Mytilus edulis: one gene and its partners. The main gene of each other region encodes a partner of the protein of the gene in region 3 in a complex. Links are inferred from orthologs where the notes say so. Each region holds a gene or a part of one and is shown on either strand. Other genes may lie near its edges. The genes, in order: ubiquitin carboxyl-terminal hydrolase 46-like, WD repeat-containing protein 48-like and WD repeat-containing protein 20-like.

Region 1 (10,842 bases), on a different chromosome or scaffold from region 3:
GTATAATACTGAATATTCTATGAAGTGTTTAGTTAAATGTTGGTCATAATTTCTTCTTTTTCTTTCACTGTTCTTTTTCAACTTAAATTAGAATCGCCCCTACATTTCTTCTTTTTTTGTGATTTTGTGATTTTTAATTTATAAATTTTGTTTATCTCTATTTTCATTTGATTTTGTTCAATTCCTCCAACTTAAAGTACATGTAGCTAACCTAAAAGTTGTGGTAAATAAATTTGCAGAATAGAATAAGATAGAGGTTCACAAAATTTTAAAGACATTTTTTTAATAGTAGTTCCCACATCCTTTATAAGCCCTGAGTATGAATATAATGTGTGATCACATACCATACTCTTTTCTCAGTCTTGTGATAAATTTCTTTGGGGCAATGGTTCCCACTTTTTTCTTCTGTGTAGCTATACTATAGAAAAGATCAGCCAGGCAAGTCAATAATGTCTCCTTCTTATTATTCTTCTGGTGTTGTTTAAATTGTAAAACTTTCTCTCGGAATGGTCGACAAAAATACAAAGCTTGCAGCACAGAGTTACCATAACATGTGTTACCAAACTGCAAAAAAAAAATAAGCAAGAAATGTCAGGAAGTGTACATTCCCTTGAAAAAGTTATTTAATTTGCTTTTTTAAAATAACATCTCAACCTCCAACCTCTTGATTACATAGTTGACAACTGCAAAAGCTTCTCTTTTCTTGTTGGTCGTGCAAACATGTTTAATAAATTTAAGAAAAAAAATACCAAGATAATTTATGCATACATGTAAGTGAGTATTATGCTGATTTTATTTTTAAGTATTTTGACATACATGTATTAAAAGAGGTCATAAAACAATATGCATTTTGTCTACAATGTGTTAACAAGGTAGAGTGGTTTATTATGGATATGCATGAGTTTGAAGACCATAAATGCTTTTCTCTTATGGTTGTGGCCTATTTGACTATTTCTTAAAATTGAGAAAGGAAATGGTGAATATGTCAAAGCGACAACCACCCGACCATAGAGCAAACAACAGCCGAAGGCAACCAATGGGTCTTCAATGTAGCGAGAATTCCCGCACCCGTAGGTGTCCTTCAGCTGGCCCCTAAAATATGCATAATAGTACAGTGATAATGGACGTCATACTAAACTCCGAATTATACACAAGAAACTAAAATTTAAAATCATACAAGACTAACAAAGGCCAGAGGCTCCTGACTTGGGACAGGCGCAAAATTGCGGCGGGGTTAAACATGTTTATGAGATCTCAACCCTCCCCCTATACCTCTAGCCAATGTAGAAAAGTAAAACAATAACAATACGCACATTAAAATTGCATGGATAGATATTTCTTGTCCAAGTGATATCTATTTCTCACTTATTACTAAAATTATTAATATTAAAAATATTTCTAAACATGCTAAAGTGATAGTTATAATAAATTCATGAAATAACACGTATGTTACTTGTAAATTGTTTCATATCAGCATTAACCTATAATATTACTTGATAATTTCTGAATTTGTTACCACTTACATTGACCAGACCAAAGTAATGTTCATTGGTGGGCAACTGGTTCTGTACCTATTTCTATATTTTTCACTTACATTGACCAGACCAAAGTAATGTTCATTGGCTGGTAACTGTTCTGTACCTATTTCTATATTTATCACTTACATTGACCAGACCAAAGTAATGTTCATTAGCTGGTAACTGTTCTGTACCTATTTCTATATTTATCACTTACATTGACCAGACCAAAGTAATGTTCCTTGGCTGGTAACTGTTCTGTACCTATTTTTATATTTATCACTTACATTGACCAGACCAAAGTAATGTTCATTGGCGGGTAACTGTTCTGTACCTATTTCTTTCTCCAGCTGTGAAGGATTATTCCCCTGCAAACAGAAAATAATGGAAACATACTTTTGTGTTTCCTAACATTCTATACATTGTTACTACTGAAACTACCATGTATCCCATGCCATCCATCTTCATTTTTTAAAATCCTTTACGTATTGAACATTGTACATGTACATTTTATTTGCATGAGCAGATGTCTAAAAGGAGGGTGTGGCTTGTTTTTGAGTTTGTAATGTATGCAACATTTTCAATGATGTTTACTTGTCCTGATCAATTAATTAAAATAAAATTGGGATTGCTTATTGAATATTGGTAAAACCCTTTGAACAGAACACTGAATGACTGATAATTTGCTATTTTAAATAAATCTAAAGTGTCCAAAAATAAAAAAAGTGACATACATGTGTGCTAAAAATGTAGTGTCTCATATGCAAACAGACATGACAGATAGCTTGATCATGTTAACAGATGAAAAAAGTAGAAGAAAATTAATGTGCTTGCTGGATTTAGAGTATTTTGGGGTTGTAAAAAGCTTTTTCAAAATGTAAAACTTTATATTCATTTCCTTCAAGAAACAAAAAGGCAAAAGGGATCTGTCCCTTAATTTCCTGTTTTAACCCGTTTTTAATCATGCCCAACAGACCAGAACATTCATTATGTTGAATGTGGGCAGTATTTGGAAGAAGAGACCAGAAAGCGTCAATGCCCATTTGTCAAATTATGGCGTAATTTTCTGATAGAATTTTTATATAGGGACGAAGTCTCCATTACGGTAGAAAAATCAATAATAATAAAAAAAAAAATCCGGAAAATTTTCTGAATTTTTCATTTTACTAATGAACTCAAAATCGTTTACTTTTTTTCTTCAGATCTACTTCCTGTTCCGGTCTTGTTTGCATGAGACTTTGAATAAAATGTATATTCATCAACATATCAACAAATATAGGACGGAATTCAACACCCATTTTTAATAATTGTTTGATATGAATAAAACGTTACCTGATAACAGCGTTTCTCTGTTTACATTGAATATGACGTCATAACTTAAACAACTTCACAACTAAATTCCTAACAACAGAACCAATATTGGAAATGTTACGGTATTTCCGTTTCTTTTATCAACATGTTTGAATTAGAAAAAAATTAATACAGACTTTGTCCCCATTTACAGGTAATGCCTGCCTCATATTATTTTAATTTCAACTATGACTATAGTATGAGAGCATTAGAGCAAATGTCTTGAAATCCTCAGATATTTAATCATTGAAAGTCGATACCTATTTTGGGTTATTAAACAAATATTTATGAGGATCTGAGTGATTCTCCTTAACCTGTTTTATTCAGAACGACAGACATAATTAAGGTTCATCATAACAAATGGACAAATATGGCCGTATTTTTACCTCAAAAACTACTCTGTGTACAGACTTACCTGTGCGGTTTGAAAAGTTTTAATGCCTAGCATCCACTAGATATATAAAAGTTAAATGCATTTTGTGTTTAAGAAAGATAAAATCTTTCTTGGTTTTTGCTGGGCATTTTTTTTCCTTTCTTCAGAAGGTGCAAAAATAAACAAACACCTGCATTACTTTGATACTGTCCACTCACTGACTCAGATAAACTCTTTAACTCACCTATAGTTCTGAAGATACCTGGTGTCTATGTCAATTAAGGACAATGAAAACAACACAAACCGGTTTTTTACCTGAGGGAGCATCTCATAGTTGTTCCACAACTTAGTAAATTTTCACACCTTTTGCATGAAGGAAAAAAAATGCCCATCAAAATCCAAAAGAGAGTTTATCTTTCTGAAACACAAAATGGATTTAACTTTTTTATATCTAGTGGATGCTAGGCATTAAAACTTTTCCAACTTCACAGGTGAGTCTGCACTCAGAGTAATTTTTGGCATGTAAATACAGCCATATTTGTCCGTTTGTTATGATGAACCTTAAGGCTTGCAGTTAATCACGACATCAGTTGTGACGTCTTGTACGGCTTTCTCGTTTTCATTTTCCCTGAACACAATCCTTCTACGTCAAAAAAACATTAATATAAGTGTGTTTAAGAATTTATAATTTCAATTTACCATCTTCATTCGGGAAAAATCGTATAATTTAAACTTGCAGGCTCAAGTCAATAAATCTGACGTCCATTTTGAAATCTAAATTATTCTAAATTGAAACCAATAGTCGGATCGGAAATTAGCATATATTTCGGAATTTCGTATACTAGTTTCGGCCTTTTACATTTCGGTCCTAGTTGGTCCATCGGATATTTATTTTTTTACTTTTTGCAAATGTTGCTAAAACATCGCTGACAACAGCATATATGTGAATGGCATGTGCTCAAGTATAGAAGCTATACTCAAATGAGTCAGCATTAAATAAACTTATTGTTTCACTGATTTTATATTAAAATGAACAATTTGTTTCGAAAGGAATTGGTCAAATAAATGTAAAAAATCAACTGGTAAAGATGGTTTATCACCAAAAAATTTACAAGTTGTTTAAGTAAACCTGTAGTGAGTAAACCAATCACACAGCTTGTTAATTTATCATTATCAACTTGTCTCAAGATCAATTTCCACCATTTCCTTGCCGCTTTTCGATAACGCTATGACAACATTAAAGTTAACATTTTGAAAGATTGGAAAAAGGCACTGGACAATAATGAATACTTAGCATCAACATTAATGAATCTCAGTAATGCTTTTAACTGTCGTCCTCATCATCTACTTCTTTGTAAACTGGGAAAATAAGGGCTTAGTCCATCTCAGCACTTGAATTGCTCAAAAATTATCTGACTACAAGAAAACAGTTTGTAAAATAGGTAAGAGTATCAGTCAAATGCAAGATATTTATAAAGGTGTTCCTCAGGGATCTATACAGTAGGCCCTATATTATTTAATGTATTCGTAATGACATCTTTCTTTTGTCAAACCAAGTGGGATTGATATAACTATGCTGATGATAACAATTTCTCAAAATAAAGTACAACCGTTTGGAATCAACAATTAAACCCTTAGAGGAAGACGGTAACTCCCTAATATCATGGTTGAATTCATGGTTCTCTTTCAACAAAATGCAGGCAAACCCAGAAAAATTCCAGGCAATTGTCATAGGTAAAAAACACACACTCAAAATATGGTCTTCAACCTAAATGGATTCAATATAAAATGTGAAGACGGAGTTTAGTATTTTTGTGACTTTACTTTTCACAACAAAACGTACTTAACAAAATTGGCACTCATCTCGAAAGACTTTCTAAACTTACAATATACCACTCATTTATCATACCAAGCATCATCTATTGTCCTCTTACATGACACGTCTGCAGTGAACAAAACACATTTTTTAGAACAAATACAAGAATTAAAGAGCAGCCATGGCCATTTATATACATTGTAGGGAAGCCATTTGTAACTGATATTTTACATTTTTTTCTTTTTTTTTCGTTGTGCTGTCCTAGGTTGGGTTTATTGGGGAGAGTTGAGTTTATGGCCACCACATTCATGACATCAGTGTTTATTTGCCAATGCCCATTCCAAAGCCAGGAACATGCAGTACAGTGGTTGTTGTTCATGGTTCATGTCTGTCAAGTTTTTTTTTCGTAAATTATTTTGGTATCAATGAATAAGGCTGTTAGCTTTGTTTGAATTGTTTTCAAATTTTTATTGTCGGGGGCATTTAATAGCGGACTCAATGATATGTTTTTTTCATTGTTGAAGGCCGTACGGTGGCCTTTAATTACTTACTACCGACGTCAGTGTAACACAGATGGATATTTGTATCATTAGTGCTGGATCGTGGTCAACCCTTAGCACATTTAGGGCAGACGGGATATTTTGTAGATCTTGTACAGCTCACACTAATGGGGGTAGTTCCTGTACTTAATTCCACGTCTCCCCTGCCTGTTGGAGAGGGTTTACATATCTTCTTTAGGTTTGATGAAGTGTCATCCGTATCGGACTTCTCCTTAATAAAAGCTTTAGGGCGACGAGTATTTTTCTCTATCCGTGCCTTTGATGGGTTCTTTTACAACGTGGTCTTAAGCATGATATATCATGTAAAGTCATTTCACCATTGTATGTCGGAGACATCATAGACGTCTGTCCAGGGAACAATCTTCAAATCGACAAGACGTGGTATAAGTAATTGTGTTCATTTAGTCATGGATACCAAGGGTTCACGAAAAAGAATAGATGTGATCATCACATCAGCATGTACTTCGTGTGTATGAAGATAAAATGTATGTACATGTATATATAAATATATATCAAATGTATACTAACACGACTCCGTAAAGCTTTGGTACCGCTAAACTAATAAAAAAAAATGTTCTATTAGGATAAATATTTCTAACTAACGTCACCGACGTTATATTACAAGGGGAAAACTAGCTTCTTATGTCGCAAAGGGGGAAAAGGGGGGTGGGGGGGGGGGCCTGATCCTCGTTTCCCCCCTATAACGCTGAGAGGGAAAGTTGGATTATGCCAATTTTTCCGGGGGGAAATATCGGATCGATCCAGATTTTCCCCCCGGAAAACTTGGCATGGGGGAAGAATGGCTATAGCTAAGACACCCATAGGACACCGGCACACAGTGACACCGAAATTTGATAGGCATCATATAAGAGAGGGACGAAAGATACCAAAGGGACAGTCAAACTCATAAATCTAAAACAAACTGACAACGCCATGGCTAAAAATGAAAAAGACAAACAGAAAAACAATAGTACACATGACACAACATAGAAAACTAAAGAATAAACAACACGAACCCCACCAAAAACTAGGGGTGATCTCAGGTGCTCCGGAAGGGTAAGCAGATTCTGCTCCACATGTGTTGCTTATGTGATTACAAATCCGGTAAATAGTCTAATTCGGTAGGTCACATTCATGTGTTATGTATATGTATTGTATGGTCGTATGTGTTTTGTAGTTTAGTGGTGAGAGTTGTGTCCCTTTGTATGATGCTGATGCATATTTTTCATGTGATGTTATCTGTCTCTTTGAAATAAACGTGCTATGGAAATAGATGTGTTTTTATTGCTCTTAAGCAAATATAACTTTAGCGGCATGGGGAGGCAAGTATATATCCCCCCATGTACGTAATACATGAAAGGGAAGGGGATTGTAGTTACGACGTAAGGAACATATCCGATATCATTTGTGAAACGGTTATTCCATAACGGTCAACCAACTCGTGATGGCGTCCGTAAAATTTACGAAGGGATGATTTCAACTTCACCATTTGGAACTCTTGGTTTAATAGCTTCCTTGTGAGCAGTAACCCTCTGCTGCAAGATTAATGATATAAGTTTAAGTGAAATGTTGTACATGAAAGCCTTTATATATTTACTGTTTATAAGTGTATTATTTCAGAAGAATATAGAAGAAAGCATTTAAATTTTAAAATGATATTGCATTAAAAATTGTATCATGGAAAAATGAAGGCCGAAATGATATCTTGGGCCGAAATATTGAGGACAGAAATTTAGTTGATTTGCGCATGTCTCTTCCTTTTTCTTCCGGTCAGAAATCAGAAAGGTTGTTGCACGTGTTTGTCGGAATATTTTTTCCATTTTTACCCTTTTAAGCCGTTTTGTTTTGTCAATAAATATTCACTTCGACAAATATTTATCACATTTATACAAATGCTAAATGTATATCACAAAAAAATCCTATGTTCTACAGGATAGGAACGATTTTTTTCTTCGCTTTGGCTTTGACCACATGCAATTATCACATTATGTTTGAAGTACATTGTACTAATTTCAAAAATGTCATTGCAATATTTCCATTTGGAATTTGATTAAATCCTTTTAATATAGAATTTTTAAAGTTTTCGTATTGAGCTGTTGTGTTCATTAAATCGGTTAGCCCAATAGCTGTGGAACTGTAGTTCTTACTCTTAGGGGCTTGCGTTATATTCTAGTAACAACAAATTAAGAAAAAATATCAAAATTTACCCTCTTAGAAATTGCCTTCCCCCTTTCAAAGCTTACTGATTGTGTCATATGTTCACAGGTACCTGTGTAATCAGAATCTTCTATAAATTTTATATGAAGTAGACAAAATGGTAAAATATAAAAAAAAATTTGGTCTATGGCAACAATCTGCATATTTGTGTTAAAAATTGCAAAAAGGGTGAAAAAGACGTCTCATATTTCCCAAAATATTTACCAGAAGTAGAATTTCAATCCATAGCTTTTCTGAAACTGTTTAGGCCGAGAAAAAAAAGATCGATGTTTCCGGTAACCCGACCGACCCTGTTTTTTAGCCCTGACCCTAACTTTTTTCTTGGATCTTCAAAAAAAAAAAAAAAAATTGTATCATCCGACCCCGTTTTTGACACAGGCTTCTGATAGATGACATAATATTTTTTCTCTCTTGCTTCTACTTGCATAGAAAGCCAGTAAAACATTTTATTAATGTCAAAAGGTATTCCAAAAAGGTTAAAATCCAAGAAATTTGCACAGCAGGTGCTTCAAAAACATTGCAAATGGCACACTTCCGGGTTTTGAAACTAATTACGGATCCGCACTTGGAAAAACCATGATAATTTTCCGGATTTCATTTACAATGTCAAAAAAAAAAAAAAAAAAAAAAAAAAAAGAATTCCGACCTACCGACCCTATTTTTCAAAATGATGTTACCGGAAACACATATTTTTTTTTTTAGGCCTTACATATATACATTTGTATCCATCAAGAAATCACTCAAAATTATGTCTCGTCTCATTTTTTTCGGGGGTATAATTGCATATTCTTATAAACCATCTTTGATTGCTCAAAATTTAGTACTCCACTGTCTAAAAATTAATTTGATTGCACAATAACTATTATATTTGAAAAATCCATCAGGCCGAAATGCGAACACCAAACCTTATTGTGATCTTTGCTCAATCAGTTTATTTTTGACAAAAATGAGATGAAACATAAAACTCGAAATAAAAAAATTTGAGCTAACCACAGAAAAATTGTTCAAGGCATGTTTATACATCTCAAAACTTTTTGTGGGATTGCGATTTTTTTTTCTTTTTCTTAAACAAGTAAATTTTTGAGAAAATTAAGGGTGAGATTTTTCAAACATTAAAATTACTTATGCATTTATATTTTATTTACTTCTTCAAGTGAATAAAGATTTCTTGTTCAAGTACAAATATCATATCATATTTTTTTTATTCACTACAATATAAACTTGGTGTGACTGACACTGAGACTATGATTTGAATTTTGGCACACAATTTTTTCCAAATTTTACTATCAGTGATTTTGATCACTTTTGAATTAATTGTTGAAGATTCTCAATAGACATTAGCTGGAAGTTAAAAATTGAAAAAAAATAACACTAGAAATTTTAAATTTGTAGAAAAAATGATGACTTTTGAGCCTGATCTTTTTTGTTTCTGCTTTTAATTTAGATTGTGACTGTTCATTAATTTACTTTTTGAGCCATAATCACTTACCCTTAACTTTGATGGCGGTGTTAAAATTATTTACAAAATTTATATAATGAATTAAAAATGTGCAGATGATTTAAAAAAAAAAATGTTTCCTACAAGCTTTAAAAATTGGTTCGATTACTGCAGAGAAAATGCTTTGATATCTGTATTTTACTAATATAAGATTAACTTGGATTTTAGCAGTCCATGTTAACTTTTACACAGCAGTCACATGATTCTCTCTAACCATGATTAAAGTTTTTCAGTACATGATTATATGATCCATGGCAATCCATACATGTATATATAATAATTTATTATCTGGTATTTGTAGACTTCATCATGACCAACACAAAGGGTTATAGGCGTGGTACACGTTATATGTTCTCAAGACCATTCAAGAAGCATGGTGTTATTCCACTGTCTACGTACATGAAAATATACAAACGAGGAGACATCGTCGATATTAAGGTTTGTTATTATTAAAAAAAGGATACCATTAAAGAAGCAAGTAACAATAGGCACTGATTATACTAGTTGAGTGTTGAAAGTATATCTAATAAAGTGGCCCAGCCGAATTTTATTTCTGTCCAACCTTCTAGTGGCTAACTGGGTTGTCTAAAGATATAGTTTGTTAAATAATGAATATTAGATGGTGACAAAGGAGAAAATTTAAATTGAATAACTACAATGGGGCCAAAATAAAAAGATTGTATGTTTGCCCAAACGCGACCGACCCAAAATAAACCCGCCGACTCAAATTCTTTTTTTGACGTTTTTTGGAAGAATTTTTTTTTTCTGATTTTTTTTGGGTCCGCTCCGTCATCGTACAAAACTTAATGTTTGTCGTCTTTGCGTTTGAAAGTAATTGTGAATAAGATTAAAAGAAAGCGTATAAGAGACGCAGTTAATCGATATTCGATGTTCTCTGTATTTATCTTCTGATTTAACGAACGTAAAGAAGTAAAACAAGTGAAGTGGCACAGTTTTTTTACGCTGTAGTTGTTTGTACTACCAAACCCTTACCTATATGCTCAATGTTAATTTCATCGTGTTATCGAATATCTGATAAGAATATTCAGGTAGATTTGTTCAAAACCATGTGCAATCGAATATTTTCAATGTTATTCTGACAGGAAATGGATCCGGAAGTTGCGAATTTACAATCTTGCAAGAAGATTTTGTTTTTACTGAATAAAAAGGAATTATTTCTTGTTAAATTGTTGTCTTTAATTATAATCTTCCTTTATCATGTAAATTAGATGTCCTTTTATTCAAATAGTTCAAATTTACAAGTCTCATTAGACAGTCAGTACGTTGCTGTTTGGGAGAATTTGTTAAAACTATAATTGCTCACAGAATCGGAAATAAATCTTAACTGAATGTAACTCCTTCTGAATAATTTATTGCAATATAAATATAAATCCCTTTTGACAAGAGAAATCTGACTTTTGTCAAATATTTGTTCACATGTGCAAAAGTAAAAACATGTTATGGACGCCATATTGGATTTTTATACAATTTGTGAGGAAGCCCCTAGAACC
Region 2 (10,867 bases), on a different chromosome or scaffold from region 3:
AATAACATGTATGGATCCTACAACGGAAATAACATGTATGGATCCTACAATGGAAACAATGGAAATAACATGTATGGATCCTACAATGGAAACAATGGAAATAACATGTATGGATCCTACAATGGAAACAATGGAAATAACATGTATGGATCCTACAACGGAAATAACATGTATGGATCCTACAATGGAAATAATTTACAACCTGTACAATGTAGCCTACAAAGAATCGCACATACCAATATTGAATAGCAGTTTTTAGAACACATCAACAACACACTTTGCAATGATGTTTAATAATTAAATATTCTGTTAATGTGTCCCTTCTTTATAATGTGTTCTTAAAGGGTTCCTACTTTCTTCATTGTATTCAGTATGCCTTTAATTACATATTCCTAAGTATGTAACTCTCAACTGTGTGTTCCTAACATGTGAGTTTGCGTTTTTCTGTTCTATTTCCCTATGCATACTTCCCATCTCTACTTTCAAATATCTGTGTTTTCTACTTCATCATTTCACGCTATGTTTACCAGTACCTGAGACTTTTATGTTCCTACCTTTTTGTCCATGATCCTACCTAATTTGACCATATGTTTCTTCAATCCTTGTCTCCTTATTTTATCTTGTTTGTTCCTATTTTCTTACTTTGTTACTGTGTTTCTACCTTGTTTGACTGTGTGTTCCTACCTTGTTTATCCCTGTATTTCTTCTTGGGTCACATGTTCCTATGTTGTATGCTTGTGTGTTCCTACTTGGTTCGTTCTCATGTCCATAACTTGTATGCTTGTGTGTTCCTACTTGGTTTGTTCTCATGTCCCTAACTTGTATGCTTGTGTGTTCCTACATAGTTTATTCTCATGTCCCTACCTTGTATGCTTGTGTGTTCCTACTTGGTTTGTTCTCATGTCATAAACTTGTATGCTTGTGTGTTCCTACTTGGTTTGTTCTCATATACCTACCTTGTATGCTTGTGTGTTCCTACTTGGTTTGTTCTCATGTCCCTACCTTGTATGTCAGTAAGTTCCTACCTCATATGTTAGTGTGTTCCTACCTTGTTTGTTCCCATGCCCTACCTTGTTTGGCTGTGTGTTCCTACTTGGTTTGTTCTCATGTCCCTACCTTGTATGCTTGTGTGTTCCTACTTGGTTTGTTCTCATGTACCTACCTTGTATGCTTGTGTGTTCCTACTTGGTTTGTTCTCATGTACCTACCTTGTATGCTTGTGTGTTCCTACTTGGTTTGTTCTCATGTACCTACCTTGTATGCTTGTGTGTTCCTACTTGGTTTGTTCTCATGTCCCTATCTTGTATGTCAGTGTGTTCCAACCTCATATGTTAGTGTGTTCCTACCTTGTTTGTTCCCATGCCCTACCTTGTATGCTTGTGTGTTCCTACTTGGTTTGTTCTCATGTCCCTACCTTGTATGTCAGTATGTTCCAACCTCATATGTTAGTGTGTTCCTACCTTGTTTGTTCCCATGCCCTACCTTGTATGCTTGTGTGTTCCTACTTGGTTTGTTCTCATGTCCCTACCTTGTATGTCAGTATGTTCCAACCTCATATGTTAGTGTGTTCCTACCTTGTTTGGCTGTGTGTTCCTACATTTTCTGTAATAATGTGCGTCTTCTTATTTTTTTGTTCTTAATTTGTCTGTGGTCTTTTATTGTGTGTTCCTACCTACTTCAACTAGTTCTTGGATTTTATTGTGTGTTCCTACCTACTTCAACTAGTTCTTGGATTTTATTGTGTGTTCCTATCTACTTCAACTAGTTCTTGGATTTTATTGTGTGTTCCTACCTACTTCAACTAGTTCTTGGATTTTATTGTGTGTTCCTATCTACTTCAACTAGTTCTTGGATTTTATTGTGTGTTCCTACCTACTTCAACTAGTTCTTGGATTTTATTGTGTGTTCCTACCTACTTCAACTAGTTCTTGGATTTTATTGTGTGTTCCTACCTACTTCAACTAGTTCTTGGATTTTATTTTTATGCATTTTTAATGTATTTAACTTCTTTTCAGTTGTGTTCTTAATGTGTTCATTTGCATATTCTTACTGTATTTGTCAGTCTGTTCCTAACTTGTGAGTTTATTTTGTTTCTTTCTGATTTGTCATCTCTGCTCTTTTTTGTATATGTTTACATTGTACTTTTGTAGGTTTTTAGTATTTCCCTTATTTGTCTGTGTGTTAAACTGTTCCTACTTTTATAAAGTGTATTGTCCTCATTACATCTGTTCCTACATTCGTCAATTTATTCCTGTTTCAATTTCAGTTTCTTGTGTTGTGTGTCCAGGTGTCCTCTTATTTTTATTTTCATCTGCAATATTTTCACCTGATTCCTTTTTTTTTGGTTCCTTTTATCTGTGTTTGCCTTCTTAGTGTTATTTTATATCTGTGTCTTTGTTATCGCACATGTTTTTCGTGTTTCTAACAACCTCCATGTGTTCCTTTCTTCCTTGTTTGTTAATGTGTTCTTACCTTGTTCTTGTTTGATAATGTGTTCTTACCTTGTTGGTCTTTGTGTTAAATATTCTGATGATGGAGTCTCTCCCAGCCGAGTATAATCTGTTAATAAGTGGGTCAAACTGAAGGGAGTTAATCCCAGATCTGTGATGTCGTTCAACTTCATCTCGGATAACAAAAGAAACCTAACAAATAAAAAAGATGAAACTGTTAATAAGTGGGTCATTAATATTCTGCAATTATGTGTTCCATTGATCCAGGATCTTTGATCTGGTTATAACAGTGATACACCAGAAATGGTCCTCATTATTTCCAAGCTGTGAGAGAAAACTAAAAAAAAAACCTTTTTGTCGAGCCTACGACTTTAGTCGAAAAAGCGGGACTAAGCGATCCTACATTCCATCGGCGTCGGCGGCGTCCACAAATATTCACTCTGTGGTTAAAGTTTTTGAAATTTTAATAACTTTCTTAAACTATACTAAATTTCTACCAAACTTGGACAGAAGCTTGTTTGTGATCATAAGAAAGTATCCAGAAGTAAATTTTGTAAAAATAAAATTCCATTTTTTCCGTATTTTACTTATAAATGGACTTAGTTTTTCTGCGAGGAAACATTACATTCACGCTGTGGTTAAAGTTTTTAAAATTTTAATAACTTTCATAAACTATCCTTGATTTGTACCAAACTTGGACAGAAGCTTGTTTATGATCATAAGATAATATCAAGAAGAAAATTTTGTAAAAATAAATTTCCACATTTCCATATTTTACTTATAAATGGACTTAGTTTTTCTGCGAGAAAACATTACATTCACTCTGTAGTTAAAGTTTTTAAAATTTAAATAACTTTCATAAACTATCCTTGATTTGTACCAAACTTGGACAGAAGCATGTTTATGATCATAAGATAGTATCAAGAAGAAAATTTTGTAAAAATAAATTTCCACTTTTCCATATTTGACTTATAACTGGACTTAGTTTTTCTTCCAGTTAACATTACATACAGTCTGCAGTTAAAGTTTATAAAACATTTATTAGATTCATAAACTACATGTATCCTGGATTTTTTTACCTACTTGGAAGCTTCTTTCAATCAAAAGACAGTATTGAGAGGGAAATTTTTATTGATGTTTTTCCTCATTTTTGTTGAGTCTGCGATTAACAGCAAAAGTAGGCGAGACACTGGGTTCCGTGGAACCCTTAGGAATTTTTATTTTATTAATTTAATCCCATTACTAGTAAGCTTAAAATCTGAAATTTATAAAAATTCAAAGATTGAAAGGGCACTTAAGTCAATAGATGTATAAACAATTCACTAAAATTTCAGGAAAACTACTCAAAGCATTTTTAAAATTAAAAAATATTGTTGGAAAAATCCCCCTTTTTGTAATGAATAGAACCTGATAACTTAAAAACATAAACTCTAGAATTTATAAAAATCCAGAGGGAGCTCATGTCAATATATATGTAAACAATGTGCCAAAGATTCTTGGTAAAATTGTTTTTGAGTTATTGTCTGAAAACTGGGAAATCCCACTTTTTGTAATGAATAAAAAACCCAAACTTGGACATGTAACATCTAAAATTTATAAAAAAGAAAAGGAGCTCACGTCAATAGATATACAAAATTCACCAAAGATTCATTGAAAATTTCCAACATGTTGACGACGGACAACCATAATACGTCACATAAACAGGCCTAAGAAAATCAGGAAAACATCAAGCATGAGAAATAAAATCATAAACATTAATGAAAAAAATACTTGATTATGCAGTCATAATTTAACAGAAATGATAACCCTGCAGTCAACTTTTTTGTGTCCATAAGTTGCACCTGGTTTTGAAAAATATATAATTTATAGTAATCTCATGGACTTTATTGCATATATGTACCATACACATACAATATCTGGGCAGAATTAGTATGGTTGACCTTTGAATCAAATACAGGACAAGCACGAGAAATAAAAAGTACCAACACAAAAACACAAGGGCAAAAACGGAGAACGCACATCTACTTTAACACAAAAACAAGAAATTTTAAAACGTCAAAACTGGAAATCAAGTGAAATAAAACATCTGAAAAACTTGCATGTAAATAACACTTTTCATTTACATAAATATACATTGATAGGGCCATAATAAATAATAGGTTTGTTTGCCCTAACGCTACCTACCCAGAAAATAAAAACTGCCTACTCAAATTCTTTTATTGTCCTGATTTGAAGAATTTTTTTTTAATCAAATAGGCATGAAGACTAATAAACATCTGATACTTCAATTTCTTTTTTTGAAAAAAAAAAGAAAATGCCTACCTACCTACCTACCCACTGTCTCAACCTTTGGGTAGGGTTTGGGCAAACCAATATATTTTTAAGTATGGCCTAGTGGATTTTTCCATGGACTTGGATAGAAAAAAGTGCCTTGTTTGGTAGCTCTTATCAGTTAGGTCCTTATATTTTTTTACTGGTCTAAAGATAGTAAAAAAATATCACGAGGACCTAAGAGATACGGTAGGCAAATAGTCATACAATATCATAAGGACCAGACTAAGAGCTACGGTTCCGCAGCTACACATGTATCATATTCATAGTATGTGTTTGGTATAATTTTTTTTTTTATCTCACTCTTCTGACTTCTTAAATAAAAAAGTACATTGTCCAAAAGTATCCACGTCTTTCTATATGTATTAAGTTCTTCAGAAACAAATATATTTTGCACCAAACATTTGTGATAGCTTGTCAGTCACCTGAACTTTCTTTTTGCCTTGTCCTGCCGAATTTCTGTGGTGTGTAGCCATTGATAACATGTGAAATACGTCACTAAATTCGGGAATAATTCTAACCGTAATTCGGTATCGGAAGGACTAGCCTAATCCGGATTCACAAAATTTTGTCTCCAGGTTTTCTAATGATAAAGCTGGAGATAGTAACTCTAGCGACCCAAACCCACTTCTTCTCTATTCAATAAAACATATTTTAATTCTTAGCACGAAATATCTCATTTTTTTTTCATCTAGCTCTGCTGCGTTCAATTTTTTATACATTTTTTTTACATTAACCGATTAAATTATCTCAATTGTTGAGTTTATACCAACTTCCTATTAAAAAGATAAGAAATAAACACATTTACAAATATCTATAAAATACACTGTCTTTGGATAAATATTTTAACGCTGACGCTATTTTGTGGAAGTTATTTCAACTGAGAGTACCTCAGGGGAGAGTACAAACCATGGGGAAAAGCTGTACGGCATATCACATTCTAATTATCAGATTTTATCATATGTTGTTTCGATAGTCAGTCTTTGCTAAATTTTTGTAATAAATTGTAACTCATAGCATTACAAAAACAGATCCGCTATAAGTGGTGCACAGTTAGTCCCAATTGGAATTCCGATAACCTGCAGACGATATACGGAATCTCAAAAGCGAACAAAAATGTTATCTAGTAAAAATTCAAGGGCATATATAGTATCAAAGCATGTCCAATTGACAAAGTTTTGTTTTTTTATTGCTACCAAAAAATTACCTAAAAGAGTAATTAAGTTGAACATATATATTCACATTCAGACTTTTTAAATGCCCATTTAATTAGGTGGGTGAATTTTTTCTTAATGAGAATGTGAGGCAAATTATGTGGTATACAGGGTAGAAAAATCAAAACTTTAACAGATATAAAATCACCAATATAAGCATGCAATTTATCAAGTACTTCCAACGAGTTCTTGACACTCCAAAAGTAATTAATTCCACTATTTTCGAAGGCCTTATTTGAACAATTTATTATCAGGTTTTTGATTGTACCAAGTGTACTGGTAAGAAGAATAGACAATTTAGTAGTGGAACAATGGCTTGCCTGAAGACGAAATAAATCTATATTTGTAAGGTGTTTTGTGTAGCTTCGGAATCCAATACATAGTTGGGACTTTCGTTGTTTTTGGTTCTGCTTGTAATGACGGCGTGCACAGAGTTGACGGCAATTGTAAAATGCGCTTTTAAAAGTAGCTTTATACAACCATGTAAATCATACATTTCAAACAGGAAGTTTTTTTTATGATGAAAGGATGAACACTAGCCATTAACATCCAAATTATTAAAAAAAGTTCTCAAAATAAAATCTATGAAGTATGAAACAAACATGGAAACGGCAAAAACATATGTAACTTGTAACATTAAATAAGCATAAAATAGAGTTTTTGACCTGAAATTTGTACAAATTTAACGTACTTTCTTGCATTTCGTACAGTAGATATTTTAGGATTCAGACTATAAAGTCAAACGAACTTTACCTAAAAAAAATCCAAATTGGCCATGGAGGATGTGTTGGAAATGAAGTTCGTTATATGTAAGAAGTAGACATTTTTAAAGCTTAATATTAGAACATGGAAGAATCGTTAAAATAAATATGTACTTGCTATTTTCATATTGCGAAATGACTTGATATTCTAAATGTGCATAAAAAGAGGTTTCAAAAAATTGCAATATAAGAAGGATTCGATAGTCCAGACTGAACACCTGAATTTTCCAAACTGTCCAGCCATTATGTTACAGATTAAAGAAATGACGTTTTAACGCTATTTTTGTTATTAGGGTCCATGACATAGTCGCTAATTGTCTCCATTACACTGTTCTAAGCATATTTTTTTTTTAACATTTTCAGAATGTGCATTTGCTGTACTTTGTTATTCGAAAGAAAAAGAAATATGTTGAACGTTTATGTTTAAAGTTATGTGATAAACTAATTGTCCAGTGTTTTTGTTACGCTTACGTTTTCTGGGGGAAAATAGCGGTAAATGATTTTAGTAATTTAAAGACGTTACGTTTTTGGACTCAGCTTTGTGCACGCCATCAAAGTGGTAGCTAAAAGTTTATGTTTATTACAGATGTCGTTTTCTGAAAATGGAGTCAGTTGGAATGTTGGTGAATTGGTGATTTCTTTTTTCAGAACCTCAATGTAACAATAATAATATTATAAGCAGCTTTATCGATCGGGACAAAAACAAATTCCTTGGCTAGTTCTTTTAGTTTATGTTTGATACGAGAAATAGGTTTATTGTGGTTATTGTTAATAGTAAAACTATTTTATATTAATGCTATATTAATATCTCAAAGATTAAATGAAAATACTGTCTTTCCACAATATATCGACAATGGTCTTCTGATAATTTGATCGATTAGAAAATTATTCCTACTACATGTTTGAAAATTTATGTTTATCTGTTTATATATAGATATAGCAAGATGAGGTATGAGTGCCAATGAGACAACTATCCATCCAAATAACAATTTATAAAAGTAAACAATTATAGGTCAAGGTACTGCCTCCAACACGGAGCGTTGGCTCACACCGAACAACAATATTTCAATATTGCTCTTTTACACATGCGTATGACTCTGGTCTGGCTGAGGCCAATAAGAATATAGAACTAGAGGCTCCCTAAAGCTTGTGTCGCTCACCTGATTCTATTTGGGATTTTGAAATATTAAAAAATGTAAAAATTTGTAACAGATACTTATAATGATGTTTTAGGCAAAATTTGGTTTAATATTGTTTTTTTTGGTTACATTTCTTTCAGAAGTTCTCTTAAAAAAGACATTTGTGTGTATTTCCTATAGGGTACCATGTTCAACTAAGTCCCCGTCTGGCGGTCATCTTGGATAATGGATCTGCTACAAAGTAACAACACTTGGTCAGCACCTCATAAGGAACATTCATGCCATGTTTTATTTCATTCCATTCAGTGCTTTTCTAAACATGCTAAAAGAAGACATTTGTATGTATTTCCCATAGGGTAGTGTGTTAAACAGAGTCCCCCGCTGGCAGCCATCTTGGATGATGGATCGGCTACAACGTAAACACACTTGGTCAACATCTTATAAGGAACATTCATGCTATTTTTGGTTTCATTCAATCTTATTAAAATAAGTTCTCATCACTTGCTCCTCGATTTTTTATATGTCGCCGTGTCACAACGTAACAACACTTGGTCAGTACCTCATAAGGAACATTCATGCTATGTTTGGTTTCAATCCATTCAGTGGTTCTCTAAAAGAAGACATTTGTATGTATTTCCTATAGGGTCCGAAGTTTAACCAAGCCCCCCCCCCCTGGCGGCCATCTTGGACGATGGATCGGCTACAACGTAACAACACTTGGTCAGTACCTCATAAGGAACATTCATGCTATGTTTGGTTTCAATCCATTCAGTGGTTCTCTAAAAGAAGACATTTGTATGTATTTCCCATAGGGTACAATGTTAACTAAGTCCCCCGCTGGCGGCCATCTTTGATGATGGATCGGCTTTCGTAACAACACTTGGTCAGCACCTCATAAGGAACATTCATGCTATGTTTGGTTACAATCCATTCAGTGGTTCTCTAAAAGAAGACATTTGTATGTATTTCCCATAGGGTCCCATGCTAAACTAAGTCCCCCGCTGACGGCCATCTTGGATGATGGATCGGCTAAAAAGTAACAACACTTGGTCAGCATCTCATTAGGAAAATTCATGCTATGTTTGGTTCCATTCCATTCTGTGGTTCTCTTAAAAGAAGACATTTGTATGTATTTCCCGTAGGGCGCTGGCGGCCATCTTGGATGATGGATCGGCTACAAAGTAACAACACTTGGTCAGTACTTGCCATGTTTGGTTTCATTTAATTTAGAGGTTCTCTAGAAGAAGTTCAAAAATGTAAAAAGTTTACGACGACGGCCGACGATGGACGACAGACGCCAAGTGATGAGAAAAGCTCACTTGGCCATTTGGGCCAGGTGAGCTAATAAAGTTGATTATATATCCATATCTATATATGATTGTCAAAATAACACATGTCTCTCAATTTTAAAACATCATTATAATAAGTCTTCAGAACTTATGGAACCTTTAATTGGAATAAAATATATAAGCGTGTAAATATTTTTATAATCTTGAACGAGCATTAAAACTATCATTTTTTTTTAAATTCAACACTTTACCTCGAAAGTTACAAAAAAACTAAAAACGTGTCTAGATCCGTTGATTTCCACAATTGAAGGAGCGCACATTGTCAAAAAGTAAAGGTAATAATGTATCTTCTAATGTATTCGCCATGGAAATATATGCATGTGTAAGCATGTTTTGTTTTGTAAGGGTTGTTACTTTTAGTTATGCGGAGTGTCGTTCGTGCATACATATTTTGACAATATTGAAAATTATTGTTATTTTTTGGCTGCGCTAACACACACTAAAAAGGTACTAAGACAAATTATTTCTAATTAATTGTTGGTGCAGTCTGGTCACAATAGCTATACGTCCATGAAACCAGATTGTCATTCAACGTACTGCAACTGTGGAGCTAAACTGTTATTTAAAAAGTAAAATCACAAAAATACTGAACTCAGAGGAGAATCCAATCGGAAAGTCCATAATCACATGGCAAAATCAAATGACAAAACACATCAAAAACGAATGGACAAGAAGTGTCATATTCCTGACTTGGTACTGGCATTTTCAAATGTAGAAAATGGTGACTAAAACCTGGTTTTTTAGCGCTAAACCTCTTACTTGTACGACAGATCCATCTAATTTTATAATATTGATAATGATGCGTGAACAAATCAAAAAGACACAATAGGTAAATATGTAAAAATTAAAGGTAAAAGGTCTAATTCGGTAGGTCACATTCGTGAAAAGGGGACGGCATTACAGTTACGGCATCAGGAACATATCCGATATCATCTTATATACCAGGTATTCCTTACCAATCAACCAACTCGTGATGGCGTCCGTAAAATTTACGAAATCATCTCTTTTGTCGTAAAGTTATGTCGATTACGTTATATGTACTTGGACTGTGCAGTTTGAACTGTAATTTATATTCTCAATCATTACAACTTTAACTGAATATGTATTGGTATGTCTAGAGCGATATTATATTTTTTTCAGTTCGTGTGTGAAAAATTCAGCTCTGAGAATCGGTCTTGTACAATTCAGGCAGACCTATTTACTTACAGCCACTATTTAGCCAATAATATTGGTATGCGCCTGTCCCAAGTCAGGATCCTCTTGCCTTTATTAGTCTTGTATGCTTTTTTAATTTTAGTTTCTTGTGTATAATTCGGAGTTTAGTATGACGTCCATTATCACTGAACTAGTATGACGTTACGCACGGTATTCGGTCAATTTTTCATTTGACCATTTCTTGATGCATAAGTAGGACAAAAACTAATCAATTCTACGTTTTATAAAAAATTACTTGTCTTGTTTCATCATTTGAATCGAAATTAGATAAAACCTGATTTAAAAAAAATAATTAAGCAAAAATTCCATGTCCATAATTCCATTTTTTGCCGTGTAAGACGTAACAACAATTACTAACCATTCAAATATAAACGGAAGAAAAAATACTAACTACTGAATGGAATTCGA
Region 3 (10,306 bases):
TAGAATGTGATACTATGAATTGATTGGTTGATCCAGGGATCCATTTTATACATGTGACTTTGGTTTTGTCTATTAATCTCTGAAGAAAAAAAAAATTTATATCTTAGACACTAAATGCAATTTAAAAGCATATTCTTGATGAAACATATTAATGCTATATGATAATGAACCCAATTGTACCAACATGATTAGTCTGATTTTTAATGTCTTAGTTCACTTTTAGTAACAAGAATACAGGCCTAGGTATGTTATAATTATGTCAATGAATTTGATAACATGGACATGATGCCATTGATGGAAGTAAAACTCCTTTTACATTATGTCCCCTTTTACATTACACCTGTCCCCTTTTCCCTAATGTGACCTACAAAACTAGCTTTATTACCGGGTTTGTTTTAACATGAGCAACATGACAGGTGTCACTTGTTTAGTTTAAACATATTTTATTGTTCAAAATGACAAATGGATTAGACACAGGTTTTACAACTTAGTAATGTCTTCTCCAAGGTGTCACTTGTGGAGTAGGATCTCTTTACCCGTCAGGAGCACCCTAGATCGCCTCCAGTTTTTGTTGGTGTTCCTTTTGATCAGTCTTTAGTTTTCTATGTTATGTTATATTTTGTGTACTATTGTTAGCTGTTGGTCTTTTTCTTTTTTGGCATTGTCAGTTAAATGTATGAGTTTGAATGTCCCTGTGGTATAGTTTGCCTCTCTTATACAGGAAGGTTTAGTTTTACCTAATAAAAGCTACATAAACCTGGAGTAAATTAAGGTGGTACCCAACACTTTCACTAAAATTAATTTGGCTCGTTTAATTTTCATAAAATTTTTTAAAATTATTTACTTTGACCCTTTAACAAAAATTCAAAAAATTCAAAAATTTTGAACCAATCGTCTTGTCAGAAAAATTACACTGGTTATATAGTAGTTTGACAAACACCAATTTTGATCATTGAGAAGCTTAATATTCCTTTTCCAACACAACGTAATTAAACCACGTTTAGCTAACTTTACAGAGTTATCTCCCTGTAGTGTTAGGTACCACCTTAAGTAAGGAATCTAATGATCCTGATGATATAAGAGACAAAAATTCCTTGTTTTGAACATGAACTGCACTCTTCACTTTGACTGTCTCAGCAAGTGGCAGTAATTCCTAAACTAGGTCTCAGCTTGATACATTATAAATATATTCAACAATGGCCAATCTTCAACATTTATATTGAAAGACTAGAATATAGTTCATGATTTAGATATATTGTTTTTTTATATTGTATTGCTGATCTTTTTTCTTCTTTTTCAGTTTCTCTCCGTCTTTAAGAGTTTTTGCCTAAATTACATAACTAGGTCAGGGGTCGAATTTAAGCTTTTTTGTGTACTGGCCAGCTGGACCAGTGGACTGAAAACTCTACTGGTCCGGCTCCAAATCTACTGGTCCTGCAAAAATGACATTAATTTGACAAACACTAATATAAATAACAGATGTTTAATTTTATTTTTAGTGCTTTCCTTTACACAAGTTAAACAAAGGAATAGTCTTTATTCTGATTTTGATAAAGGCTTTGGTAATCTCAATAATTTTCTTTATCAAAATCAGGATCAAGGACAGAAAAAATATCCAACATTGTCTTCCACGTCATCGCAATCCTCACGACGACCATAGGGTGCCTGACTATAGGTCGTCTGGAGCGCTGTCCAGAAATATTCGATCTACTATATAATGCAACCATTCACGATCTTTTTCCCATGATTTTTGGTAATTGCGTTTCCTTTTGTCACTTTCGTATACTTTATTTCGATCTTCCTTTTGATTTTCAGTTATCTTAACTTTTTGTCCGGCGGTTTAACTCCTTCCAAAAATTTCCACATTTTATATTGTTGTGAAGGACGCTGTAATACCCCCATCCCCCATCCCCATCAAAGGGTACATGTACATTTGTACATCAGGGCAAATAACTAAGAAGTGGACTGACAATGCAATTATCAGCACTTTTGACCTACATGTATTATATGTACAATGTATATATGCAGATCTTGTCTAGCTAAGTACTATATATAACATGGTTCTTACAATTAACATATATTTAAACAAACGAATCCGAAGGATGAGTTTATTTAAATATGTTAATGAGTAAGACACAGGGTATATAAAATTTGTAATATAAATAAAATGATTGACAGCTTCAAGACCTTGAACTAATATTGTAAATTGATCACGTTACAGTTTTATCCAATGAAATGGAAGCTCGTGCAAGTCACTTTTGCGCCTCGGTATGATCTTCTGTGTGTTTCATGTAATAGAATCCCCAAATTTGAAGAAAGTCAAGAAAATGTCGGATTTTCCCGATTTTTTAGTTTTGCGCCCCGTGTATGATCGTAGAGGCAGGTAATTTCATAAGGTCATCAGAAAGTAAATAAAAATGTCGGATTCCAGGGACAAGGATTAAATTATTATTCTAATGGCGGTAAGATTATTGTTTTTTGTTGAGTTTCAAGGTATCATAAAATTAATCATAACTTACAGGTTGTTCATCTAATTGAAAAATGCATATTTATACATGTATAGTTTTCGTACAAACTGCTTTTCTTCCGTTATTTCATTATTTTGATTTTTAGATTATTTATTAAAACACAATTTTAATGATAAAACACTGTATTTAAACAGTGTCGGATCAAGGGACCGCAGATAGTGTACACCCCCCTAATTGATCGCAAATAAAAAATTATGTTTTTCACAGATTTTTGTTCCCGATATTTATTTCTTTTCTACATGTACATGTATAGTTACCCCCTATTTGAATCGTAATTTCATTGAATTTTAGCAAAGGAAACGATAGTATTACATTTTTTTTTTTTCACAAGTGAAAGAAGAAACATTTAATATTTTTTCCAAAATTAAGGGAACTCGTAACAATTCTATATAGTTTGAAAAAAGTTTCTTGAGATGGGGTACACATGATTTATTGCTTTTTGTTATAAAATGAAAACAAATGAAGATCTTGACCTTTTAGTACATTTTTCAGTTTCCTGAAAATTTCAAAGGCGGACACCTTTCAAAAAAAGGTGGAGCTTCAGCCATGGAAATCATGAAAATGAATATGTTGTACCATAGCTAAGCTCCGCCTTCTTTCCTTTGGATTCTAGTTGAGTTGCATATTTAATTAGCAAAGTATGGTACATCAATTTGCATATAATATACCATGGTTTTCCCTCACCACACTTTTTAAGCAAATTATTTCATTAAAACATCAAAGTCTTATTATTTTATTTATAAAAACAAAAAATTAGGTAAAAATCATAATCAACAGATTATTGTACAGTAACTCCTACCCATTTTAGATTTAAAGATTAAAGGCAGAAATGAAATCGTATTAAATTGTCTAAAAGAATTGTATGATATATAAATATATACATATATATATATATATGCTTTATAAGTTTTTTAATACAAATTGCATTGTGTAGGAATTTTGAATGAACTGCAAAAGGTGGATAGAAACACTTATAATCAAGTCGTAGTAAAAGCAAGGAGGTACAAAACATGGGGCATAATATGTATCCCTCCCTTCCCCCCTCTTTCAGAGTAGACATTTAAATACTTAATAATACAAACTTCTTCATTGTAAAGTTTTCCCAGCTCTTTCTTTATAGGATCAATAAGCTGTAGCTGTCCTGCAGTAAAGCCTACTAACAATCTAACACTCTCACTGGATATAATCATTCTATTAAAATCATGACATGTAGGAAATGTCCCTTTGTATAATCTCTTGTCTATAGGTTTTGTCAAATCTGCAGCCTGAAGAATAAATACAAAATCTTATATGTTTGTTCATATTTTTCACGATTCGACTGCATAGCAATACACAATATTTTTTTCCAATTACAACTGGATGAGTTTGACCTAAATTTGTCCTTAAAAGATTTTTTAGGTGTATGTTGATCATGTTGATGTTTTATGAGTTTTAGGTGTATATATACATTGTATGTTGAACTCTTGATCATGCTGATACAATACAATACAGAGTTTTTTATTGTCAATTATGACAATTATGTTAATGAGTATTTTTGGGGTAACTGTTTTATTGATGACTGACATTTTCCTACCCCTCATTTTTTACTTAATAATATATGATATTCCTTAACAAACATGGCTACACTTTGATCTTTAATTGTTTACTTTTTACAAATTGTGACTTGGATGGAGAATTGTCTGATTGGCACTCTTACCACATCTTCTTACTTCTACATAGTAGAATTTTGGGAATGTCTTTCAGGTGTAAAAAATACAATGTAGAAGCATAAGACTGTTTTCTTTGTTTATCATGTTCTTCGCCTCATGTACCCAATACCAAGGTTGTTATTTTCCTTGTTTACAATGAACATGATGCATGTTAAATGTTCAGTGTAAAAAAGTTTCATGCAATAAAAGTAATATTTTTTATCAAAAATAATTGTATGTTCTACGACTTTTTATAGAAAATAATAATAATAATTTGACTCCTAAAACATTGAATATCGGCAGCTATTAATTAAAACCATATTCACATCCATTAACAAATTAAATGCAAATTCTGCAAAAAAATAAATATGAACATTTATATGAACCCTGCATTCTTCTATACCAATACAGGTTTACTGTGTGTTGTCAAATGTTTCCTGCTGGCATTCAAAGCACTACAGGAAAACATTTATTTCCTTCTATGGCAGACAAACCTGAAATTGGTCTATTCATCATAGACATAATAAAACATGACAATGCATCCTCTGCAATGATATTTGTTTGAATGCAAATTTGGGTTAATAAATTAATCATTAGTATTTCAAAAGAAAAAAATGTCAGTAAAAGCCATAATATTCAAACCTCAACGGACTTCAATTTTAAATACCGGTTTCATCATAAATTTTATGTGTATTTATTCCAAGTCTGGTGCAAAATTTACAATACCTGGAGTGGTGTTTTGTGATTGTGAAGTACATATATATTTTATGCAAGTTGTTTTTATATTCTGTAACATAACTTTGCAAAATATACCTTTTTTACGCCCTTATAAACATAAAAATACAATTCCCTGCCAACGTTGAAACATATCCTATCTGGCGACGGAGAACCATCGTTTACATTAATGAATGACACTCTGGATGGAGTGTTAGTTTGACCATTATAGGGAACTCGGGTAGGTTTTGAATATTCTGACAATGGCATCAATTTGTACGTCCCTTCCCGGGTTACAAAGTGAGTTTTAATGTCATCTTTTCCTCCGCCCTCACTTTGGGACGCCATATTGAAATTGAGTTTTCGACAGGTGCCCGGATAAGATAAGTACGCATGCGTCATGTAAACTTCCGTGAAATAGGTAAACAATAACACGTGTGTTTGTTTACATGTTCACTTGATAACTAAACAAGCTTATTTTCAGATGACCGGTCAAATTCATTCACAAATTATCAACTTTTCTTACCATATCTTTAGCAGATAATATGAGGCAGGCATTACCTGTAAATGGGGAAGAAGTCTGTATGAATTATTTTTTTGTAACTTTTAAAAATATTTAGTCTTTAGTCTTTAGTAAGTGTCCCAAATGACACTGTAAACACTTGTGTACGTTTCCTCTTTTGTAGTTTCTTCACATATGTAATGTTCACTCATGTACTTAATTGAAATTGTGGCTGCTGCTTAAAAAATTTTGACTTAATTTTGATATAGATTTATAGTGTTTTTTGCTGTATAGTGTTTTTGAATCTACCAGACTCCGTTAAATAATTTTCCAGATGGCACAATATCTCATTTCGATTGTCTCTATTAATGTCTTCTTCATCGATTCCTAATAAGGTGTCTAAATCCATGTGTATATTTCCTGTAATAAAGTAAATAGATGTTCTCATTCTCTCTCTAGCCTCCTCATAGTTAGAACAATGTAAAAGATAGTGTTCTACAGTTTCTGGCTCTCCACAGGAACAGTTTTTGTCTGATGATGGTATAATTTTGGATTTATAATCATTTAGATCACAATAACCTGTTCTCAAACTAGTAGTAATTGAAAACGACCATTTGGATGGTAAATCTTTTGGTATTTTCTGACAGACATTTTGATGATAATTGTAATAATTTCTGCCACGTTGACTTGATTCCCATTGGTTCTGCCATTTTCTTAAAACACTTTCTCTTGCTGCACGTTTTATATCCTGCCTGGTTACTTCTGATGGTTCTTCTATTTTTTCAGCTTCTTTAGCTCCTTTTTTGGCCAGTGAATCAGCAATGTCATTTCCTTGGATATCAGCATGACCAGGTGTCCATTCAAAATTTAATGGAATTCCATTCATCATTAATACTTTCATGTTTTTCTTAATTTCTCTTATGACTTTGATGTAATTCTCTGATTTCCAGTTTAAAGTTAAAATTCCGATTGAGGTCTGACTATCTGAAAAAAGTGTAATTGAGTCTGTGTTTTGTCTGTTTTCTGATATTAAAAAGTGGTCAACAACAAGTTTAATGGCGATCAGTTCTCCGAGTAGTATTGATCCTTTCTTGGATACAGCTTTACTAATTTCAATTTGTGGTTGATTATTTGATGGAAAGATGACAGCACCTGCTCCTACAGGGCCAGGACTACCAAGACAGGACCCATCAGTAAATGCTATACATGAATTTGCAGGAAGATGACTTAATTTTTCCATTATAATGAGTTTTCCAACATTTTTTTGGTCTGTTGATCTTGATTTGGAATTTCCAAGGTTTTTCCAATAATCTGGAGGAGATTTATATCTTCGTATCCCATTAAACTCAAATTCTGCTTCTATACCATTTACATCAACACCTGTACATACCTTCATGTCTTCTGCCTGAAGAATCATTTTTCCCACTGGAGATACATATTTTTCAGGGATGTCAATTGTTTTCCAGTCATCCAGGATTTGTTTTATTGGAATGGAGATATCATACGAATTAATTTTTGCAAGTGTACGAGTTGCAATTTCTTCTCTACGCAGATGTATTGGTAGGATTCCAGAAACTACTTCCAAAGTCTCTACACTTGATGTTGGAGTAACATTAAGGCATATAGCTAATCCCTTTCGTTGAATTTTGTTCAGTTTGTCTGTTATATTGGTTTCACAGGTCTGCCAAACACTACTTGCATATTCTAAGGTGGAAAGGACAATACTTTGGTAAATTTGAAGTAGAATTTTTGTAGAAATTTTTGCAACTCCTTTGATCATTCTAAGTAGGCTAATTGCTTTATGTGCCTTTTGTTCCACATTTTCGATGTGTTTGAGAAATGATAGTTTTTCATCTAACGTGACTCCTAATATTTTTGGATTACAGTTATATTTTAACAATTTACCTTCTAGTTGTAAATTCATTTTCTTTATTGGACCATTCCTTGAAAAAATACAATATTCTGTTTTCTCAATACTCAAATTAATTCTCCATTTTTTGGTCCAATCCTGGATTATGTTAAGATCCTTTTGTACCTGTTTCTCCATGTCATTCAAGTTCTTTCCATTTATCCATACAGTACCATCATCAGCAAATTTACACTTTTTACATGATAGGTTAGCAAAAATGTCTTTGATAAAGATATTAAAAAGAAGTGGAGCTATAACTGATCCTTGTGGGAGACCTATTTTGGTTTCAAACCAGCTTCCTTTATGGTTGTTAATCACACACCTTGCTTGTCTTTCCTTTAAAAAATTGTTAATCCAATTCCAGATGTTACCTTTAACACCGTTATCATAAAGTTTTGTGAGAAGTCCTTCCCTCCAAACACTGTTAAAAATAAGAAACGGAAATATCGTAACGTTTCCGATTTTGGTTCTGTTGTTAGGGATTTTAGTTGTGACGTTATTCAAATTATGACGTCATATGCAATATAGACAAAGAAACGCTATCATCAGGTAACGTTTTTTCATATCAAATAATTATTAAAAATGAAATTGGTATTGCACGTTCCTTCCTATTTTATACTAGACTGATAAATATATATTTTACTCAAAGTTTCATACAAACGAGACCGGGAAAAGGAAGTACATTGTACATTTCTGCGCAGGTCCGGGATTTCAAAACATGACATAAAAAAATATTGAACGATTTTGAGTTCATTAGTACAATGAAAAATTCGGGAAATTTTCCCGATTTTTTTTTTTATTATTGAATTTTCTACTGTTATTGGGGACTTCGTCCCCATATAAATCCTTCGTATGAAATCTTGACTGAATGTTATATTATGAGCTCAGCTAAATATTTTAAAATCTCTTTAAGAACTTTTTAGTATATATAATTTATGTATCAATGCTTATTAAGGGGGCTCCTGGGTATAAATAATTTTTTTTTTCTAATATAGGATTTCGCTATATTTTTTCATGAATGAACTTTATCATATACTTAAAAGAAAAATGAAATAAAAAAATGGGGTCACCGTTCATTTAAGCTAAAATCTGCCTCTGGAAGAAGCATACATTTTTGTTAATGTCCTTTTTTTCTGTTGAACTAATAGGAGAAAAAGAGGAAATATCGAAATAAAAAAATAACCTAATATAAGAAATCGCTTAAATTTTACAATTATTTAGTTTATGTACAGCTTATTTGAAAACAATAATAAAAAATATAGGTCACCGATGAGTTAAAAAAGATATTTCAAATTTAAGGCCAAAAAATGGCATTTTTGCAGCAAAGGGAGATAATTTGGAGCTTTTTCAATTTTTAAAGTCATCTGGGGCCAAACCAAATCATTTTTTTGGGTTGTTTTTTGTACCATATCATAAAGTAACAACTAATAGTGTAATAAATAAAATTTGTAATGAAAAAATAGAGGTTTAATTTTTTGCTAAAATTTTTGTACCCACGAGCCACCTTAAAGGGACATTAGCTGTCAAATCCATAACCACCGATTTGACTCACAAATTTTAATATTTGATTTATAGCATACTAAGACGTATGTATGCAAATAAAGGACAAAATAAAAAAATTATCAAAGCATGGATAGAGAGATACCTATATTTTACTAGACTGATAAATATATTTCTGCGCAGGTCCGGGATTTCAAAACATGACATAAAAAAAATTGAACGATTTTGAGTTCATTAGTACAATGAAAAATTCGGGAAATTTTCCCGAATTTTTTTTTATTGAATTTTCTAACGTATATTAATGATTGTTTTTTTATTGAGAACATCTGTATAACTTGTATTTCTTTTAATATGCAACCTAATTTTTTGTTTGTGTTCTTTTTTTTTAATTGTTTATGAACATTAATAATGTGTTAATGAATACCACTGTCACGCTAATATAATTATAATCAAATTAACTATTGTCAGTTTATTGTCCTAATTTTGTATGCCATAACCATTTTAACTCGAATAATTCCGCCCCTCTATCCACTACTTTTCTCGAGGATGGAGTGATCGAAGTGATCATAATATAACGACTGGATTATTCGGGTTATAACCATTTAATGTAAATAACATATATTTAAACTAATTATGAAACCATACTAGTCAATAAATTTAACCAATTACTAGTACCATGGAAGTATTATATTGTCAATATAATACTTCCATGCTAGTACAGATTAGTAGTTCCTTTCACTTTCCTTTGCTAAGAGAAATTTAAACAACTGATCAGATATTACTTTTATCCATTTTATAATTTTACTGAATGCTTAGTGTACATACAAGTTCCTGTTTTTAACTAATTTTTAGTTTTATCCTATTCTAACTCTGTTACTATTATTTTAAATTTTAACCAGTAGATAGAATTTTAAATAACGCTATTTTAGAAATAAACAAAATTTTTAAATGCGGTGACCCTGCAGATAGGGTGGACTTCCTGAAGAAGAAGAAGTTTGTGCTAATAAATATTGTCTATATCTATAATACTAAAATTTGTCAGCCGTCATCACGTAAAAACGACGAATCAAAGAATTCAACTTTATATATAACTAATACAGTACAAAGATGTAGATTAAAAATTACACCACTCCAGGCCCTTTTGTTTTCCACGTAATTAATATTGCCAATAATTAAGAAGTTCCGGTTCGAGTCCGATACCGATACCAATAGTATATTCACCTGTTACCGATTACCTTATCTGTACGTTCCGCATCTGACAGGCGCACCACCAAACGGTGTATTCAGGATTAATATGCTATCAGGGCCGTAACTAGGGTTCTAATTCAGAGGAGGCAGGGGTTCGGGGGCCGCCGACTGAAAAAAACAAATTTTTTTCTCTCAGTAAAATGCCTTAAAATCACCCTTTTTCCTTTGATTTCCTTACTTTAAGGATTGCTTGAACCTGGAAGCAAATTTTATGCAA

Evidence for each region.
Region 1: WD repeat-containing protein 20-like (region 3) and ubiquitin carboxyl-terminal hydrolase 46-like share a complex: the UniProt entries of both Drosophila melanogaster proteins name them as parts of the usp12-46 deubiquitylase complex. The link is inferred for Mytilus edulis from reciprocal best matches to the Drosophila melanogaster genes CG6420 and Usp12-46.
Region 2: WD repeat-containing protein 20-like (region 3) and WD repeat-containing protein 48-like share a complex: the UniProt entries of both Drosophila melanogaster proteins name them as parts of the usp12-46 deubiquitylase complex. The link is inferred for Mytilus edulis from reciprocal best matches to the Drosophila melanogaster genes CG6420 and CG9062.

Annotation. Positions count from the first base shown.
Region 1 is NC_092351.1:8,877,134-8,887,975, forward strand, and holds the start of ubiquitin carboxyl-terminal hydrolase 46-like, read right to left. Parts: upstream 4,028-10,842; 5' UTR 3,949-4,027; coding exon 3,940-3,948; intron 1,886-3,939; coding exon 1,805-1,885; intron 565-1,804; coding exon 345-564; intron 1-344. Other genes in the region: large ribosomal subunit protein eL21-like, read left to right, coding at 9,641-9,769. UniProt on the Drosophila melanogaster protein: Catalytic component of the Usp12-46 deubiquitylase complex.
Region 2 is NC_092355.1:81,253,286-81,264,152, forward strand, and holds the start of WD repeat-containing protein 48-like, read right to left. Parts: upstream 5,276-10,867; 5' UTR 5,267-5,275; coding exon 5,207-5,266; intron 2,643-5,206; coding exon 2,502-2,642; intron 2,126-2,501; exon of another isoform or gene 1,953-2,125; intron 1,673-1,952; exon of another isoform or gene 1,575-1,672; intron 1,071-1,574; exon of another isoform or gene 718-1,070; intron 1-717. UniProt on the Drosophila melanogaster protein: Regulatory component of the Usp12-46 deubiquitylase complex. activates deubiquitination by increasing the catalytic turnover without increasing the affinity of deubiquitinating enzymes for the substrate.
Region 3 is NC_092346.1:2,398,890-2,409,195, forward strand, and holds the start of WD repeat-containing protein 20-like, read right to left. Parts: upstream 5,316-10,306; 5' UTR 5,279-5,315; coding exon 5,030-5,278; intron 3,794-5,029; coding exon 3,611-3,793; intron 80-3,610; coding exon 1-79. Other genes in the region: uncharacterized protein, read right to left, coding at 5,704-7,479. UniProt on the Drosophila melanogaster protein: Regulatory component of the Usp12-46 deubiquitylase complex.